Linked DNA regions of Saccharomyces cerevisiae S288C. The protein of the gene in region 4 interacts with the protein of the main gene of each other region in a biochemical or structural test. Each region holds a gene or a part of one and is shown on either strand. Other genes may lie near its edges.

What was found.
Region 1: the proteins of CDC34 (region 4) and CDC53 form a complex in vitro, tested with the Saccharomyces cerevisiae proteins (4 studies listed by BioGRID).
Region 2: the proteins of CDC34 (region 4) and HRT1 form a complex in vitro, tested with the Saccharomyces cerevisiae proteins (21 studies listed by BioGRID, with this or other methods).
Region 3: the proteins of CDC34 (region 4) and CDC4 form a complex in vitro, tested with the Saccharomyces cerevisiae proteins (11 studies listed by BioGRID, with this or other methods).

What each region holds. Positions count from the first base shown.
Region 1 is NC_001136.10:222,025-227,557, reverse strand, and holds CDC53 (cullin CDC53), read right to left. Parts: upstream 3,255-5,533; coding exon 807-3,254; downstream 1-806. Other genes in the region: homocitrate synthase LYS21, read right to left, coding at 1-165; SRF1 (phospholipase D regulator), read right to left, coding at 3,818-5,131. UniProt on the Saccharomyces cerevisiae protein: Core component of multiple cullin-RING-based SCF (SKP1-CUL1-F-box) E3 ubiquitin-protein ligase complexes which mediate the ubiquitination and subsequent proteasomal degradation of target proteins.
Region 2 is NC_001147.6:68,415-71,881, reverse strand, and holds HRT1 (SCF ubiquitin ligase complex subunit HRT1), read right to left. Parts: upstream 1,558-3,467; coding exon 1,192-1,557; downstream 1-1,191. Other genes in the region: GAS4 (1,3-beta-glucanosyltransferase), read right to left, coding at 1-582; mediator complex subunit MED7, read left to right, coding at 1,838-2,506; PFK27 (6-phosphofructo-2-kinase), read left to right, coding at 3,128-3,467. UniProt on the Saccharomyces cerevisiae protein: Core component of multiple cullin-RING-based E3 ubiquitin-protein ligase complexes (CRLs), which mediate the ubiquitination of target proteins.
Region 3 is NC_001138.5:114,116-119,621, forward strand, and holds CDC4 (SCF ubiquitin ligase complex subunit CDC4), read left to right. Parts: upstream 1-2,029; coding exon 2,030-4,369; downstream 4,370-5,506. Other genes in the region: AUA1 (Aua1p), read left to right, coding at 875-1,159; WWM1 (Wwm1p), read right to left, coding at 993-1,628; cohesin subunit SMC1, read left to right, coding at 5,314-5,506. UniProt on the Saccharomyces cerevisiae protein: Substrate recognition component of a SCF (SKP1-CUL1-F-box protein) E3 ubiquitin-protein ligase complex which mediates the ubiquitination and subsequent proteasomal degradation of target proteins. Recognizes and binds to phosphorylated target proteins.
Region 4 is NC_001136.10:560,940-564,996, forward strand, and holds CDC34 (SCF E2 ubiquitin-protein ligase catalytic subunit CDC34), read right to left. Parts: upstream 1,389-4,057; coding exon 501-1,388; downstream 1-500. Other genes in the region: PST1 (Pst1p), read left to right, coding at 2,588-3,922. UniProt on the Saccharomyces cerevisiae protein: Catalyzes the covalent attachment of ubiquitin to other proteins. Capable, in vitro, to ubiquitinate histone H2A. Mediates the initiation of DNA replication (transition of G1 to S phase in cell cycle).

The DNA.
Region 1 (5,533 bases), 340 kb from region 4:
GAAGAATGCGTTGGCAAATTGTTCACCCTCTCTTAGTGTTGAATCAATCAACTGGAAATTCTTAACATTGGATAGATAATCCGCAGGATTTGGGCCATATGGGTTACTAGTGGTTGGAGCAGTCGTCGATTCGGTGACACTCTGGAATTCGTTATTTTCAGACATGGTTTGTTAAAGTATACAATTACTTGGGTTGTCGTTGCACTTTTAAATGTGTAGCAAATAAAGGCCTAAACGCAACAAGAAGAAAGATAAATTTTGAAATCTGTTGCATATATATATTAGTATATAAGAGACTGCATGAAAATGCGAACAAACGCATGCTCAACACCACTCATGCGCAATATCGTAGAATCACACACAACGAGAACGATCAGCTTGGCATCTTTGCAAAGTGACTAATTTTCGCTGTTCCACCACTATCGCACATTGCGCGACGTGATTTCTACGCGGATTTCTTGGAGCTGGTAGCTGCTGGTGACGATTTCCAGCGGAATTTCAACTCTGCCACTGACTGATCCTTGTTGTCAGTCTCATCATTTCAGCCTGATCTCTTCTCAAGCAGGCCGAAAAGCCGCCCGGTAAAGGATGTTACAACGGAAAGAGAAGTGCCATATCTTCATACTATGAGATTCTCAAGAGGTCAAAGACTCTTCATAGTTCAGTTGAATACACACAATTACACACACACACATATATATATATACATATATATATATATATATATATATATATATATATGTATACGCTTATGTATTTACTCGTAGGATTTGCTTCGTTCGATCAGCACAAGCCTTCAAAGATGATTAAGCAAGGTAAGCATACGATTCACCATCGTCTCCCCTCTGTAGGTATCCCTTTTGTATTAAGCTATCGATGGCTCTCTTGACCATAGAAACCTTTGCATTGAACCTTTGGTGTGATTGCGCAATGCATTCGTTGACCAATGTTGTATGTGGCAGATTTCTTTTCGCTTTCATTATTCTCACAATACAAGCTTCCAAGAAAATCTGCCTTTCTGTATTCAATTCTTTTTCTATTCTTTCGTCTTCCGTCAAGCGTTTGTTTCCTAACTTATTACCGTGATTATCGTGGCCTCCACCGGATAGCGATTGCAGAATGTCGTTTTTGACTCCGCTAGCGAAATTAATATTGGTCTTAAGCGCCTTATAAGGACGTGATAGCTTGAATTGTGTTTCAGGTTTCACGAGAGCATCTAGCCCTGGTGGGACCTGTTGAATCAGTTTGAATTTGATGAATGGTACCATTGCCGCTGCGATGTGCTGAATGGTTAAGCTCGTGCCCTCTTGAATATTTTCTAAGGTTAATACATCAGCATCGTTATATAGTAGCAAAATTGCCATTTGAAACAGTGTTACCGTAAAGTTGAACGGCATCCTGCCGGGTTTTCCAATATCTGCCTTCAATTCGCCACGACATAATGGCCATAGCCACTTCAATATTCTACCATTATGCTTTTGGCTGTATGACTCCTTCAATTTTTCGTGAGATGGTACCAATTCCTTGGGTAGCTTAAATTCAACTTCTTGGTATGAAAATGGCCACATATTTTCTGCCAATACAAATGGTTGTAGATCTGGATATTTTGCTTTAGAGTAATCTGGTTCATTCTTCAGGGCGACAGCAAAATCGTCTTCCAAGATCTTGGAAAGTCTAATATCTTGAAACATTTTAGTTATCTTGCCTGTATATTCCATACTATTTGCCGCTTGCAGCCTTTGAATAATATTTTCTTCGTCTTCTGCTGATGTTGAAGTGCCATGAATTAAACGCTTGGCGAAAAGTCTTCTATAATGAGTTTCGAACGCATCTTTGTCGGTCAAATATTTGAATATTGTTATAATATCTTCATCTGACATGTCACTTGCCACTTCAGGTTTGGTGGCCTTCTTTAATAGTATATCACTGTACTTAGCTAGCATCTCGGAAGTCTTCGAGGTGGCACTTTTTGGAGATCCAGCAGGTAATGCGAACTCGTTGATGTTGATGAAAGCACCACACGCATTATCTAGAGCTTTAGCTAAAGGTATGTCGTCGGGGAAACTTTCATTAAAAATCTTAGAGAATATATCGTGTACTTCCAGTAATTTCTTGATATAGTCTTTAGGAGAAAGGGAGTGAGCTGTCATTAGTGCTAGTTTTTTAGGGTTTGCGTTTTCGTTTTTCATAATATTGTGTTTATGCATTGCCAGTAGACTCGAAATTTCATTCTCACCTGTCTTTTTAACATAATTTTCAAACACTGAAGCCATTCTTGGGATTAATGTAAAGTCTCTGCGTATTAGTGCGTACAAAGAAGTAATTTTTTCAATATCTCTGGCATCCAGAAGGACAACAAACTCATTTTCCAACTTTTCAATATGGTCTGTGATCAAGACCTTGTTTAATGCCATGGATAGTGGTTTTTTTGTATGATCATCCCAATATATTGTCATTGCTTTTTCCTCACGTTTGATGATTTCATGTGCTTCAAAAATATACTCAGTTACCGAGTGTTTCTCTAAATAATCGTTTGTATATTGCGTGTAGTACTCCTGAGTCTTCTTTAAAAATGGCTTTTCGAAAACTTGGATGTAGACATTTAGGTTCAACTTTTTCAAATCCTGTGGATCGATACCTAGTGCAACTAAAGACTTTATGGCAGTGCTAATATTACTTCTTTGAATTATTTGCCCCTCCCTTCCCAAGGTTACCTGGTCTAATAATTCGTTTATTAAAACATCTTTACTCGGATCAAACATGACTTCTTTCCATGTCATCAAGCACAAGGTGTTTACATCAAAAATATGCCTTTTGCCGTCACTTCTTTCCTTTTGAACCCAATATCTATTCATATAATCGAATGCATGGTTTAAAAAAATGGCACCTATTGTAAACCTTTTCCAGCGCTTGACGTAAAACTGCAAAAAGGTCTCTGAATTAGACTGCTTAAAATTTAAAATGTAATTCTTCAAATAATTCTTTAACTTTTCGTAAATCTCACTGCCAACCAAAATTGTTGATTGGCCAGTTCTACTGTCAGTACTAAAATGTCCAGACGAGCGTGATTTGTTCACACAGTAGTTATAAATTGCGGTATAGACTTCCATATACATGGTTGGAGAAAGAATTTTGTAAACTCGCTTAGACGTGGATGCTTGGTTTTTCTCATTACCCAGTATTTGGTTAATTCCTGGCTCTATAAAGTTCCAAGTGGCCTCTAAATCATCAGATCTAGGCAGAGTCTCAGACATGCTTTGCTGCTTGCGATTTTGTTGTTATTCTTTGTTTAGGTATATGTAAGAATCCTTTCAAGACTCAAAAATGTACGCTTATTTATCGGTAAGTAGAAGCAATGTCGAATTGCTAAAAGAAATGTGTAACTGAGGTAAAATGTAATCAACAATGAAAGGGGTGCACAGAAGTTAGAAGATGCGGATGAAAAGCTCTAAAAGAGAAAAAGGACAATATAAAAGAGCAGTGATATGAATCAATTGCGTTGTAAAGTGAAGTTCTGCTGGGGTACTTTACCTAATGCCCTAGTTTTTCTAGATGTTCTATTTGCCACATTTCACTTCATGTGTGTCCATCAAACATCGAAATGAAAAAGGGCCCTTAAAACGGAAAGGAAAAGAAAGTGCAATAGCCCTCCCTTCGGGTAATACATATTATATCGCACAAAGCCTAATATAATCAAACCCGCCGTTAATGAATAAATGCCAAGCCGGAGTAATTTTTTAAGTCAAAAATATACAATGCATATAAATGTCAATCTTGGTATCTAAAAGAATTCTTTTAATTTCTATATTTGTCGAGCTCAGTTTCTGTTGGTAATTGAACTGACTTTTTCGACTACTCTAACAATACTGATCGAGAAAGTGATTACCCACATAAACAAGGCAACGAACAGAAAAGCGGATAAAGCTTCCTGTTTTCTGCAGATACGCGGTATTTTTGGGTATCCATACGTGCTTCCATTTGACCTGCGAATAGAAGTGCAAACCCACTCTTTGTCGAAACGAGTATTAAATGCCAGCGCTAGATTAGCGCTTGAAAAAATTATAAAAAGTAAGTCCAACAAAATTAGTTTCAGTTTGCTTAACGGATTCCTCAAACCAACAGGTTTACCAGCAAATTCATCGTGTGCAATGTAAATAATATACGCAATCGCCACGGCGTTGACGCAGATGGCCATTATGGTGCTTGGTTGTTGCCCGATTTTACTTTCACTGATGGTGTTATTTGATCTTGAGTTTTGAAAAATCTTGATTGCCAGAGCAAGTGAAATGCACGATAATATACCAGTGAAAATCCTCAAACCCAAAATCAAATATTGATTATCAAGTAATAGCGACGTCAAAGGAGGTCTCCACTGTTGTAACTTCCTTTGCTTTAACCTCCGCCACTTTTCTCTCTCTTTATTGAGCTCATTTACCCAATCTGACTTGTAAACTTTGTTGTGTACTGATTCGGGTGATTCTGGGTTCTTCTTATTATCACCGTAATAGAAATCTTTTACCTTTTCGATATATTGTAACCACTCTTTTCTCTCTTCTGTCGTGTTGAACTCTAAATTGGCACCTATTTCTGAATGTAGAACACCTTCTAGTCGTTCTTCACCTCCCCACTCGCTGCACATGTCACCTAAAATTTCTCTAAGAGCCGCATTTTTTGATGAGGTAGATGATGATAGAGAGTAACCATCGTAGGATTTGTGACTAGGATTGTAGTTTTGGTCTCTAGTGTATGCAGAATGACAGCCGATGGTAGATGCAAACTGGCCCCATTTAAACTCTTTTGGAAGATTTTTATCATCGGTAACATTTCCATCAACGGTGCCCTTATCCTGAAGTCTTAATTTATCAAACTGCGCCTCTAAAACATAAGGCGGCACTGTGGTAGGCACAAACGTGTAAGTATTTAATTTTGGATAGTCTAGTGGTGAACCATCACTGTGTTTGGGAACATGTATCTTTGCATTCTGTAATGCTTCCAGTGAACCTGACTTCCTTACTGTTTGATTTTTTTCAAGATCCACGTTTAAATTAAGTTGATTTTGATCTGCGATTCTAGAAGCGTTCGTGGATGTTGTATCAGAATACGCTTCTTGGCTGGAATTAGAATCCCCCATTAAATTTGTCAGTGTAAAAAAAAAGAACGCCTCAAAAAATGCAAAAAAATATCATTCACTTTCCCTTCTCAGCAATCTCACGGTTTCGAAATAGCAATCAAAGTATTTTTATAATTGACTAAACAAAAGGTGGTTGGAGACTTTGTGTTGTAGCTTAGAATTTCTTCCACTATATGAAAGCCAAGACCTCTTCTCCTCTTTCGACACTTCGTTTATTTCCACTTTCCCTTATTTAGTATTCATCGTTCAGAATGCTTTCTTTATTTCACGACGGTTACCACACCCGTACACCCTTATCTCATTTCACCAGTACCTTTCCTTATTAGATTCATCTTATTTTATTTTAGGATTTTTAGGTCATTGTACGACGCGTGTCGCACCATGGAAAAGGTGTCGCAGCTG
Region 2 (3,467 bases), on a different chromosome or scaffold from region 4:
TGTTCTGGGCGAGTGTGCGCTTATGTAATTCTTCATAGTTCCAATCAACTCCTTGACATAGGCAGGAGAATATTGTGCTGATCTTTTGTCGTTTACAATTTCATTCCCAGCAAAAAATCCTAAAGTATTATTGTAATGAGAAAATTGTTCGACAACCTTGAAAACGTGTTCTAAATAAACTTCATTATAGGTAGTCCAAGGTTCATATCTGTTTAAGTGCTGGTTTTGCAATGGGGAATTGACATCCAATATAAGATAGATACCTGCCATTGCGAGCATAGTCATGCACGCATCATGGTTCAGGTCCGGGTTTATAGAATAAATTCTTACTGTGTTTATTCCCAATTCTTGAAATAATAAAATATCACGAGCGCATGCATCTGGATTGGATAACGGATCCTGCTTTTCACTAACGTCGGAAGAGCCTCCTGGCTGATAATCCACACCTTTGATGAAGAATGGTTTTCCAGTCACTGTGTCAACGAAATGCTTGTCCTTAATTTGAATGGTGTGGACTGAAGCTTCACACAGTACAACTAACTCCAAAATTAGAAAAATAAAGGTGCTCGAAAAAACCATCATGCTCACGATTTTGTTCTTTTCTGCTTTATTTGTAGCGTTCGAGGTAAAATATATTTTTTTATTTTAATACTGCTTTACTCAGTATCCTATTATGTGTCGTTTTTTTGTGCCGCTACCTCAGTCTCACCTTACAATACGGAAAAAAAAGACTATTGGCAATTTCTTTACCCAACATAATTACCACTAAATTATTATAAGTGAACTTTTGGCCTAGTGTTTGTGTATATATATTTGTCCTTTGGAAGGGCAGTGATCGTCTTTAAATGTTTTAAACAAAAGAAGTATGTAAAAGCAGCCTGATAATAAATGTGCTCTTAAAGAGTCAAAATACTACTAATTTTTTAGCGGCTATATAGAGGTAGATTATGAACAAGGCTAGGATGATTTTGTTCTGTCACCTTTGTGGATGTCTTATTCCTACCCCGAGTTACTAACGAGATAAACAAAAAGGGTGCATACAACTCGATTATGCTATGTATATAACAAAATTCGACGTGGAAGAGAAAAACATGTATCTACTGCGCCAGTTGACATACTCTAAAAAAAAAGGAACATGCCATAATCCTTCTACCTCGGTATGATTTAAATGTTTACGGGCAATTCATTTTTTCACCTACCGCATCTTGCTAACTGCCAAGGTTGGTTATCTAATGGGCATGCGTCTCTTGTCTTGATCCATTTATTAATACAGTGCAAATGGAAAGCGTGATTACAGACACCCCAGGCTGCTACACATTCATTATCAGTGTCCGTCATGGCCTTTGGCTGGCATTCAATGCATGGTTCCATTATATGGTTCCTGCAAATAGCACAGTTGTCAACAGCTATATCCCATGACCAAAACGCCACTGCGGTCCATTTCTTAATTTCAAATCTCTTCTTTTTGGTTTCCACTGGCGCACTTTGGTTTGAGCTTTGCGCAATATTTTGCGATTCATCTTCATCAACATCCATCCTGTCAACTTCGTTGCTCATGTTGAACTATTTCTCTTTAAAGTTCTCTGCCACTGGAGAAAGACATTTAGTAGCAACCAACATTGCACATATTGAAGCCCATACGTCTATTGTGGGTTTCATGATCTCCCTCTTCACACCTTTAAAAGAAACTATTATCACGAAATACGAAATGTTAGTTAGAACTTAAACAACGAATCTTGCATTTTCAGCAGGCAGGTCATTAGACGTGCAAATATGACATAAAAGAGGTTTCATATCCCAAATTTAAGCTAGTAAAAAAAAAATTCACAAACTAAAAATGTCCAATGATCCTGGTAATGAGGTTAGCTCCTTGTACCCACCTCCACCCCCATACGTGAAGTTTTTCACACAGTCCAATCTGGAAAAATTACCAAAATACAAAGAAAAGAAGGCCGCAAGTGCGAAGCAGACGGCTCCAAATAACAGTAACGGCGGCAGTGAAGAGGAGATTACATGTGCGCTAGATTACCTAATCCCACCCCCCATGCCCAAAAATCAGCAGTACCGAGCGTTTGGGAGTATATGGCAGGTGAAGGACCAACTGCCCGATTTAGAGAGCATGGGACTCACCCAACTTTATAAGAAATCCACAGAAAACGAAAGCACAAATTATCAATACAAAATCCAAGAGCTACGCAAACTATTGAAATCCCTCCTGCTAAATTACTTGGAACTCATCGGCGTATTGAGCATAAATCCGGATATGTATGAGCGCAAAGTGGAGAACATAAGGACCATTCTTGTCAATATTCACCACCTACTTAATGAGTACAGACCCCATCAGTCCCGAGAGTCCCTTATTATGCTATTGGAAGAACAATTAGAATACAAGCGCGGGGAAATTCGCGAGATCGAGCAAGTATGCAAACAGGTACACGACAAACTCACCAGCATACAGGACACCTTAAGAACCGGATCACAATCTCCTCCATCGTCGTCCCAATGACCACACTATTATAAATCATTTGTGTAACTATATACATTTTCAACTACCGTATAGCGTATAGTAGGCACGTGGTAGTCCACCCGTACACCTCCCTCGGAACGGAAAAATACGAACTATAGCTTATCGGAATATATACCAAAAATTAATTGACGTATTTCCGAGATTCCAGGCACAAGTGCCCCACCTTTTCACAGAAATCGCGCACAGATGAGTCTGCAACGGAAATTGTTTTCCTTTTTTTTCTTTTTCTTCTCTGGGCATCTGAATCGATTGATAATGAAAAAAAAGTAGAAAAAGTAAATTGGATTACTCGGTTTTTCGTGTGGAAGATTGGCTTATATAAAAGAAGACGTGCTCTAAACAAAGGTGTTTTCGCTTATTTTGGTGCCACAGCAAACCAACTTATTTGCTTTTTTAGAGGGTGTTAAAAAGTCTGATACGCTCATATACGAGTAACACTAAACCGGAAATACTAGGAGAGCCCAGTACTTATACTTCTTATTTGGCTTCAAGTTCCACTGCCCTCGAAACAAATTACCTTACGCGATTTTTAATATTTTAGATATAAGGAAAAGGAAGAAAAGGGATAACGAACGCGTTTTTTCCGCTGGAAGTTTGAAAATGGGTGGTTCTTCCGATTCAGACTCTCACGATGGATATTTGACTTCCGAATATAATTCCTCGAATTCTCTTTTTTCACTTAACACCGGTAACAGCTATTCAAGCGCATCTCTCGACAGAGCCACTTTAGATTGTCAAGATTCTGTTTTTTTCGATAATCACAAAAGTTCACTGCTGTCTACAGAGGTCCCAAGGTTTATTTCTAACGACCCGTTACACTTACCCATTACACTGAATTACAAAAGAGACAATGCAGACCCTACGTATACAAATGGAAAAGTTAACAAGTTTATGATTGTTTTGATTGGGCTACCAGCTACTGGGAAGTCTACCATTTCTT
Region 3 (5,506 bases), on a different chromosome or scaffold from region 4:
TTAAAAAAAATAAGACGGACACATTTGCGACGCCGGTGAATAAATGCATATAAGTAGTTTATAAGCTAGCTACTACTCAGAAATAATTTCAAAAAAAAAAAGAAGTGGGCACTTTAAAATGAAGATTAGCTATAGTAAATTACTGTAGTATAACAACTACCTGCTATCTTTCTGAAAAAATCAGGCAATGTAAGGTCAAACTTGTACCATCGACATATATAATGTTTTGAGATATAAGTAACTAGAGACCAGTTTATACAGGATCTTACCTCTTTTTACCGTTATGAAAGCTTTATTACTGCGTTGTTAGTAAACACACATATTATTTTCGGGTAGTCCTGTCGATGTTCCAAGGCTTTGCATTTATCATTGTTTCCGCTTCATCGGTGGTATTAGTTAGTGTATCTGTATGTGAAGTATGTGGATAGGTGCTTCTATTATTGGAACAAAACACCTTAAACGCGCACTAGGTTATAGGAAAGGGTCCATTATTCAAAGAACGGCTTATTGAAAAGTATGTTGTAAAGCTCGGTCATATCGCGCATAGCCACGATAAGGCGTGGTGCTGCTTCATAGATTGAGAGGCGCAGTCAATACACAACCATACCGGTAGTTTGATAAATGATACTATCATTCCGGAAGCTCTCTAGTAAGCTGTAGGTGGCATATACGGTATCTATCATCTAGTAATAGCTATTGATTTTTTTCTCGACTATGCTATATGTGTTGTGATGGTTCACTTAGAAGTGAAAAAGTAGCAATAAATTAGACAGACAGAAGTAATTGAAGCTACATTCAACAACATGGCTAAGTAAAAAAGCGTAGAATATCATGATGGGTTTTTTTATCTTTTAATTGCTTTCTATGTAGTATAATGGACCGATCTTTGCAAGTATATATCTGTATGTATCCATATTTAGATGGCAGCAAGCAATATAGATTTGATGAGCTTATATCATTTTATCGTCCTTGTCCAAAAAGTCTTGATAACATTAAAAGTCACTACCGTCAAATCCATCATCAAATCCGCCGTCGAACCCACCAGCATCATCAAATCCGCCGTCGGACCCACCAGCATCATCACCGTAGTAATTGTTCTCGACAACGACAGTGTCTGGTCCGTCATAGTTGTGGTCGTCAAATGCGTGTTCTAGCATAGCTCCACCTAACAAACCCGCACCAACACCAAGTAAACCACCCATCATGGCACCGCCGTGTCCACTACCTTTACTGGTGCTTGGCGCAGTTCCATAGTATGCTTGCTGTGGTGCTGCTGCTGGCATAGGGGCTTGTTGAGGATAGTAACGCTGCTGTTGAGGGTATTGAGGGTACTGAGGCTGTTGAGGCTGATAGTAACGAGGTTGCTGTGCTTGGGCCCCTGCTTGCACTTGCGGTGTTGATTGAGAAGAATAAGGTGGAGGAGCCTGGTCTGCCTGTTGACGAGAACTCTTCTCATTGTTAACACCTGGTGGAGGACCTTTGGGTCTTGGCCATGTTGTTCCCCTTGGTGGTTCCCACTGAGAGCTGTTCGTAGATAAATCTACATAATACCAAGTCTGGTATTCATCATCAAAAACAGCCTTCCAGCCAGAAGGCACTTGAGGAGGATTACTTTTACTTTGAGCCATTACTTTAAAATGTTTTGGGTTTTTTTATCGACTCTCTTGTAGTGAGTGATAAAAGCAATTCAGAAAGAGTCTTTTGATTATCATGACTAAAGTAAACTTTTTCTTCCAGCTGCCGGCTCGGTCAGGTGGACGAAACAAAAAAGCCTGTTGAAATAATACTGAATACGTTAAAACGTCACAGCGCTTGTATATCTTGTGAGAGAAAGGCTATTACCACTGTTATATGAATATAGATTGCTCAACAAAGCGTGTCTTTTTCTGTGTGCTTAAAATATAGTGTCTTTTTTGGGAAAAAAACGTTTATTTACAGTATTCTCTTCTTCTTCTCCTCATTCAACTTGTTGCGGTTCGAAGAAAATTACGCATAAAGAATCAAAGAAAGGCAAAAATTACGCTGTACGATGGGGTCGTTTCCCTTAGCTGAGTTTCCATTACGTGATATCCCTGTTCCTTATAGCTACCGTGTGTCTGGCGGTATAGCTTCCTCAGGTAGTGTTACTGCGCTTGTTACTGCCGCTGGCACTCATCGAAACTCGTCCACGGCTAAGACAGTTGAGACAGAAGACGGCGAAGAAGATATCGATGAGTATCAGAGGAAAAGAGCAGCTGGTTCTGGCGAATCCACTCCTGAACGCAGTGATTTCAAAAGGGTAAAACATGATAATCACAAAACCCTCCATCCAGTTAACTTACAGAACACCGGTGCAGCGTCTGTGGATAATGACGGTCTGCACAATTTAACAGATATATCCAACGATGCAGAAAAACTTTTGATGTCTGTGGATGATGGTTCTGCCGCACCTTCTACATTGAGTGTAAACATGGGAGTGGCATCTCATAATGTTGCTGCTCCCACTACCGTCAATGCGGCAACAATAACTGGCAGTGATGTTAGTAACAATGTTAATAGTGCTACTATTAACAATCCTATGGAGGAAGGAGCGCTGCCGTTATCACCCACTGCTTCCTCTCCAGGTACCACAACTCCTTTAGCTAAAACTACGAAAACTATCAACAACAATAATAATATCGCCGATTTGATAGAATCCAAAGATTCTATAATCTCCCCTGAATACCTTTCTGATGAGATTTTCAGCGCAATAAACAATAATCTCCCTCACGCATACTTCAAAAATTTATTATTTAGATTAGTTGCCAACATGGATAGGAGTGAACTATCCGACTTGGGGACTTTAATCAAGGATAATTTAAAGAGGGACCTAATAACGTCTTTGCCTTTTGAAATAAGTTTGAAAATTTTCAATTATTTGCAATTCGAGGATATTATAAATTCCCTTGGGGTCTCCCAAAATTGGAACAAAATAATTAGAAAATCTACATCGTTGTGGAAAAAACTTCTGATATCGGAAAATTTTGTGAGCCCAAAGGGTTTTAATTCTCTCAATCTCAAACTCTCCCAAAAATACCCAAAACTCTCACAACAAGATCGCCTTAGATTATCTTTTCTGGAGAATATATTCATTTTAAAAAATTGGTACAATCCCAAGTTTGTACCACAAAGGACCACGTTAAGAGGCCATATGACGAGTGTTATTACGTGCTTGCAATTTGAAGATAATTATGTCATTACGGGGGCTGATGACAAAATGATCAGAGTTTATGATTCGATAAACAAGAAATTTCTTCTACAACTATCAGGTCATGATGGTGGGGTTTGGGCATTGAAGTATGCCCATGGCGGTATTTTAGTCAGCGGTTCTACAGACAGAACGGTGCGAGTTTGGGATATTAAGAAAGGTTGTTGTACCCATGTGTTTAAAGGTCATAACTCTACGGTGAGGTGCCTAGATATAGTAGAATATAAAAATATCAAGTACATTGTTACTGGTTCGAGAGATAACACTTTGCACGTTTGGAAATTGCCCAAGGAGTCCTCCGTTCCTGATCATGGGGAAGAACATGATTATCCATTAGTCTTTCATACCCCTGAGGAGAACCCATATTTTGTTGGTGTTTTAAGAGGACATATGGCATCTGTAAGAACTGTCTCAGGCCACGGTAATATTGTCGTTAGTGGCTCCTATGATAATACACTGATTGTGTGGGATGTTGCGCAAATGAAATGTTTGTATATTTTAAGTGGACATACGGATCGTATTTATTCGACAATCTACGATCATGAAAGAAAAAGGTGCATCTCTGCCAGTATGGATACCACTATTAGAATTTGGGATTTGGAAAATATATGGAATAATGGAGAATGTTCCTACGCAACAAATTCAGCATCGCCATGCGCCAAAATACTTGGTGCTATGTACACTTTGCAGGGTCATACAGCTTTGGTCGGTTTATTAAGATTATCCGACAAATTTTTGGTCAGTGCCGCTGCAGACGGTTCAATAAGGGGTTGGGACGCAAACGACTACTCTAGAAAATTTTCCTACCATCATACCAATTTGAGTGCAATTACCACATTTTATGTATCGGATAATATTTTGGTGAGTGGATCGGAAAATCAGTTCAACATCTATAATCTACGGAGTGGGAAATTGGTCCACGCAAATATTCTAAAAGATGCTGATCAGATTTGGTCGGTTAATTTTAAGGGCAAAACACTTGTTGCAGCAGTTGAAAAAGATGGACAGAGCTTTTTAGAAATTCTGGATTTCAGCAAAGCTTCAAAAATTAACTACGTTAGCAATCCCGTAAACTCCTCGTCGTCGTCTTTGGAATCCATTTCTACTTCTTTGGGTCTAACGAGGACAACTATAATACCATGACCTTTCCCAGAGAATAAGCATTGACTCATACTTAGATAATATAGCTTAATAAGTAGTTATATAATCAGTAAAAAAGTACAATAACAACTTCGTACATTTTATTGAATATAAACTGCAGCTAAACTGCTTGTATGTTCAATTTTAATTGTGTTTACAAAAAGGGTGCCGTTTATTAATTAATGTTTCTTCCCTGAAAATATGGAAAGTACAAGTTTTTAGTTGAGAAGGGTTTAAGAAAGTTTTGAAAATGATCTAAAAAAATATAAAAGCAATCAAAGAAATAAAAGCTGGAAAAATGCGTAATAACCGAAGTGACTAAAATTTCTTTACGCGCCAAATAAGAAATCGATGCTCTTGAAAGTAGCAACCATTTTTTAAATAATATATTCCTGATGGTTCTTGGCCCAAGAGTTTTCTTGAACTTTTAACGTTAAGAAGTTGATTCTGCTGATTTTTTTCAAGTTATCAAGCGTTATGTTTTGAAACATCTGTTCCGTTTTCAGTTTTTCAAAAAGATCGATATTCTCTTGAGAATTAGGAAGTTCTACGCTCAACCTCCCGTGGGCAGAAGAAATACAAAAGCTAATACAATTGTGTTAGAATAAAGTTCTAATATTATCTAATTAGTAGTATTCATGTTACTAGTATATTATCACATGATATTTCTCAAATTGGACAATGTAAATAATGAGTGTTTTTATGACACAATCTTTATCGTTAGATGTTTCAACGTTCCAAGGCTTGGTTCTATCGCTCTTCTCTTCAAATTGTAATCGTTTGTCATGATAAACACGTACGGGAAAAAAAAAAAAAGTATCAATAACGCGTAAAGTGAATAGAGTATTGGATTCTATAAGACCGAAGACGCTCATATCACATCTCATAAAATCACTTAAAGCAAGCATCCAGAGGCTATTGATAAAAAGCAGGCACAAGGAGACGCAATGGGACGTTTAGTTGGCTTAGAACTAAGTAATTTCAAGTCCTATAGAGGCGTTACCAAGGTAGGATTCGGCGAGTCGAATTTCACAAGTATTATCGGTCCTAACGGATCTGGTAAATCGAATATGATGGATGCTATCTCATTCGTACTCGGTGTGCGGAGTAATCATTTGAGGTCAAACATCTTGAAAGATT
Region 4 (4,057 bases):
AGAAAATAAAAATAAAAAAGGTAATGAGGAATTAGATGCAAAGAGATATAGATATAAACACACACACACAAATATATATTTATATACATATGTATGGTGATATATATTCAAAAAAAAAAAGTACAGTAACTTAGAAACTATTAGTGGGACGGATTTGGTTTTCTTATTTCTTTCTTTTTAAAAAACTTTCTTAATATACACGTTTGTGGTTATAAGGTGGTGTAAAGTAATGTAATGATATACACTTTTTTTCTCAATTCTTTACCTTCTTCTTTCGTACGGTGTACTGCGAGAAGTAAAATGGGATGATGAATTAATTTTTCTAAATTTTTCTTCGACACTTAGTTATTTTCTTCTTCCCCTGTCAATCTCAGATTATCATAGGGAAAAATGTAAAGTGCTTTATCGACAACGTATCGCGTATGTATAAATTGATTCATGTTTTGCGTTTGAGCTGAATATGTTTTGTTAAATTTTGTCTTCTTTCTTACTGTTCTTTTTTATATTTTCTTTGAAACTCTTTCTACATCCTCCACATCTTCACTTTCATCTTCAGCCTTGTGGGGTTGTTTCCTATCCATGACGCTGTCGTTATCTATACTATCGTCGTCATCATCGTCATCATCTTCGAATTCGATTCTTTCGTCATCGTCGTCGTTGTCGTTATAGTTGTAAACGTCATCATCTTCAAAGGGGATATGGTTGTTTCCATCGTCGTAGTCGTCGTCTTGTAAAATGACGGACCCGTTCTCATCGTCGTCCAAATCACTATCATACCAAAAATTATCCGCCATATCCTTATTCGATTCTGGTTCATCTAGTTTACTTTGAGATATGTACGCCGATTCAGAAGTGGGCATTATGAAACCTTTAGGGATATCTTGTTTCGATCTTTCCACTTCCATTTTGACTCTTTGCTTGTATTGTTCAGGGTTCTTTCTGTAATCAACAGCGGCATCGACATTTGCTGGCGAGTTGATATTGGGGTCCTCTAATAGAGATACTATAGAGATCAACACACTTTCCACGGTCTGCACGGGGGACCACGTTTCAGCATCAGGTTCGTCGGTCATAGGATCCCCACTTTGATGTAAAATAGAAATACAAAGCCTGCCATCCCTGTAAACGTTTGGATGGTAGATAGCCGGCGTAAATCGAAACTGTGGTGGAGAAAAGGGAAAGTCTTCCGGAAATCTCATTTGAGCTTTGAAAAACCCTCCATGATAAATGGAATCCTCATTTAGCACCATAACACCTATGTTCCAAGTGAAAATATTTGAATCATCCTCTAGTTCTATATGAAATGAGGGAATAGCTTTCTTAGGATCAGTAAGTTCTCTATATTGCCGTAACAGTAAGCTAGAAGCGGTGCTTTTGCGACTACTCATATTTACGTTGTATTGTTCTTTTTTCCTTGTTTGGTGTACTAAAAAATAACAGTCGCTATAAGTCCTAAACAGTAAAGGACAAAGATGTCAGCGGCAGAGAGTATAAAGGAGTACTATTCGACTGAAATAACAAACGCAAAGCTCCTATTATTTTGTAATAGTATGCTCTTTATTGTCCTTCTTAACTTTAAGTTTCTGCTCTTGTTCTTTACAGATTCAAGAGGAAACCAAAAAAAAATCAAAGAAAAAGAATCGAATTTTTCCCAAAATGAAAGTGTAAGGAAAAAAAAAGAGGAGATAGAAAATCCGAAGAACCCCAAGGGACGGACAAACACAAGACGATGCTGCACGTGGTTAGTTTTGTAAGCGCAGGTTACGATAAAGAGCATAAACAAATCATTACTAAGAGCGGTATACAAGAATAAAGTGACAAACAGTTCTCCCTATTTAACGCACTTAACGTAGGTTCCATCATTATGATGCTATTGCCACATCAAATCTCCTTTGGACTGAACCCGCATTAGTAATTGCCCGCTTTTCTTTTCTTCCGCGGGTGGGCCCCATAAATAGAAAAAAAAAGAAAGAAAGCGTTTAAATAAATAGAGTGAGCGGATTTCTATTATCTGAAAACCGGGTTATAATGCACGTGATATGCACGTGGGAGCTGGGCGGCTATTTTTTTCTTTTTCAAATGTATTTGAGTCGTTTAAAATAGCACTCCCCGTTGACCCGCCAACTCATTTTTGTTTTCTCTTTACGGAAAAGGCTTTAAATTAAGGCCCGCATTTTCGGTATCCTTGAGGGAAAAAAACCAAAGAAACCCAAAAAAGACCACAAAGCTGGGATATCTTAATTAGTAGAGAGGGCTTTTAGTTTTAATAGTGTTACGAGTCTCTAAAAATAGCGTAGGCACACTGCCCTGATTCGGACTTTGATCAGAGTTTATTACTACAAAGAGTAATGTTGAATGATTGGGCTGGGTTTTCATAGCATTAACTCTAAGTAATATCATTCAACCGCTCAAGGTTCCTTACGAGCAAACCCATATATGCTCTACAGATAAACATATAAATAGCGTGCATATTCTTCTCTATTCAACTCTTGCTCTGTATAGTTCAATAGAATCTTACAGTACATCACGCTGCAATAGATCTAATCCAAGAGAGAAGCAAAAAAAAAAAGCTCGCTATAAAAATATCATGCAATTACATTCACTTATCGCTTCAACTGCGCTCTTAATAACGTCAGCTTTGGCTGCTACTTCCTCTTCTTCCAGCATACCCTCTTCCTGTACCATAAGCTCACATGCCACGGCCACAGCTCAGAGTGACTTAGATAAATATAGCCGCTGTGATACGTTAGTCGGGAACTTAACTATTGGTGGTGGTTTGAAGACTGGTGCTTTGGCTAATGTTAAAGAAATCAACGGGTCTCTAACTATATTTAACGCTACAAATCTAACCTCATTCGCTGCTGATTCCTTGGAGTCCATCACAGATTCTTTGAACCTACAGAGTTTGACAATCTTGACTTCTGCTTCATTTGGGTCTTTACAGAGCGTTGATAGTATAAAACTGATTACTCTACCCGCCATCTCCAGTTTTACTTCAAATATCAAATCTGCTAACAACATTTATATTTCCGACACTTCGTTACAATCTGTCGATGGATTCTCAGCCTTGAAAAAAGTTAACGTGTTCAACGTCAATAACAATAAGAAATTAACCTCGATCAAATCTCCAGTTGAAACAGTCAGCGATTCTTTACAATTTTCGTTCAACGGTAACCAGACTAAAATCACCTTCGATGACTTGGTTTGGGCAAACAATATCAGTTTGACCGATGTCCACTCTGTTTCCTTCGCTAACTTGCAAAAGATTAACTCTTCATTGGGTTTCATCAACAACTCCATCTCAAGTTTGAATTTCACTAAGCTAAACACCATTGGCCAAACCTTCAGTATCGTTTCCAATGACTACTTGAAGAACTTGTCGTTCTCTAATTTGTCAACCATAGGTGGTGCTCTTGTCGTTGCTAACAACACTGGTTTACAAAAAATTGGTGGTCTCGACAACCTAACAACCATTGGCGGTACTTTGGAAGTTGTTGGTAACTTCACCTCCTTGAACCTAGACTCTTTGAAGTCTGTCAAGGGTGGCGCAGATGTCGAATCAAAGTCAAGCAATTTCTCCTGTAATGCTTTGAAAGCTTTGCAAAAGAAAGGGGGTATCAAGGGTGAATCTTTTGTCTGCAAAAATGGTGCATCATCCACATCTGTTAAACTATCGTCCACTTCCAAATCTCAATCAAGCCAAACTACTGCCAAGGTTTCCAAGTCATCTTCTAAGGCCGAGGAAAAGAAGTTCACTTCTGGCGATATCAAGGCTGCTGCTTCTGCCTCTAGTGTTTCTAGTTCTGGCGCTTCCAGCTCTAGCTCTAAGAGTTCCAAAGGCAATGCCGCTATCATGGCACCAATTGGCCAAACAACCCCTTTGGTCGGTCTTTTGACGGCAATCATCATGTCTATAATGTAATGGAATGAAGAAATATTCTTCATTTTTGATAACTAGTACCTGTCATTCACGACATGTGAACAAATAAAAACATTTATTTAAAAATTTTATGTATTCAAATATTTTCGGGAAAGAGATAAAAGTAACGACACTTAA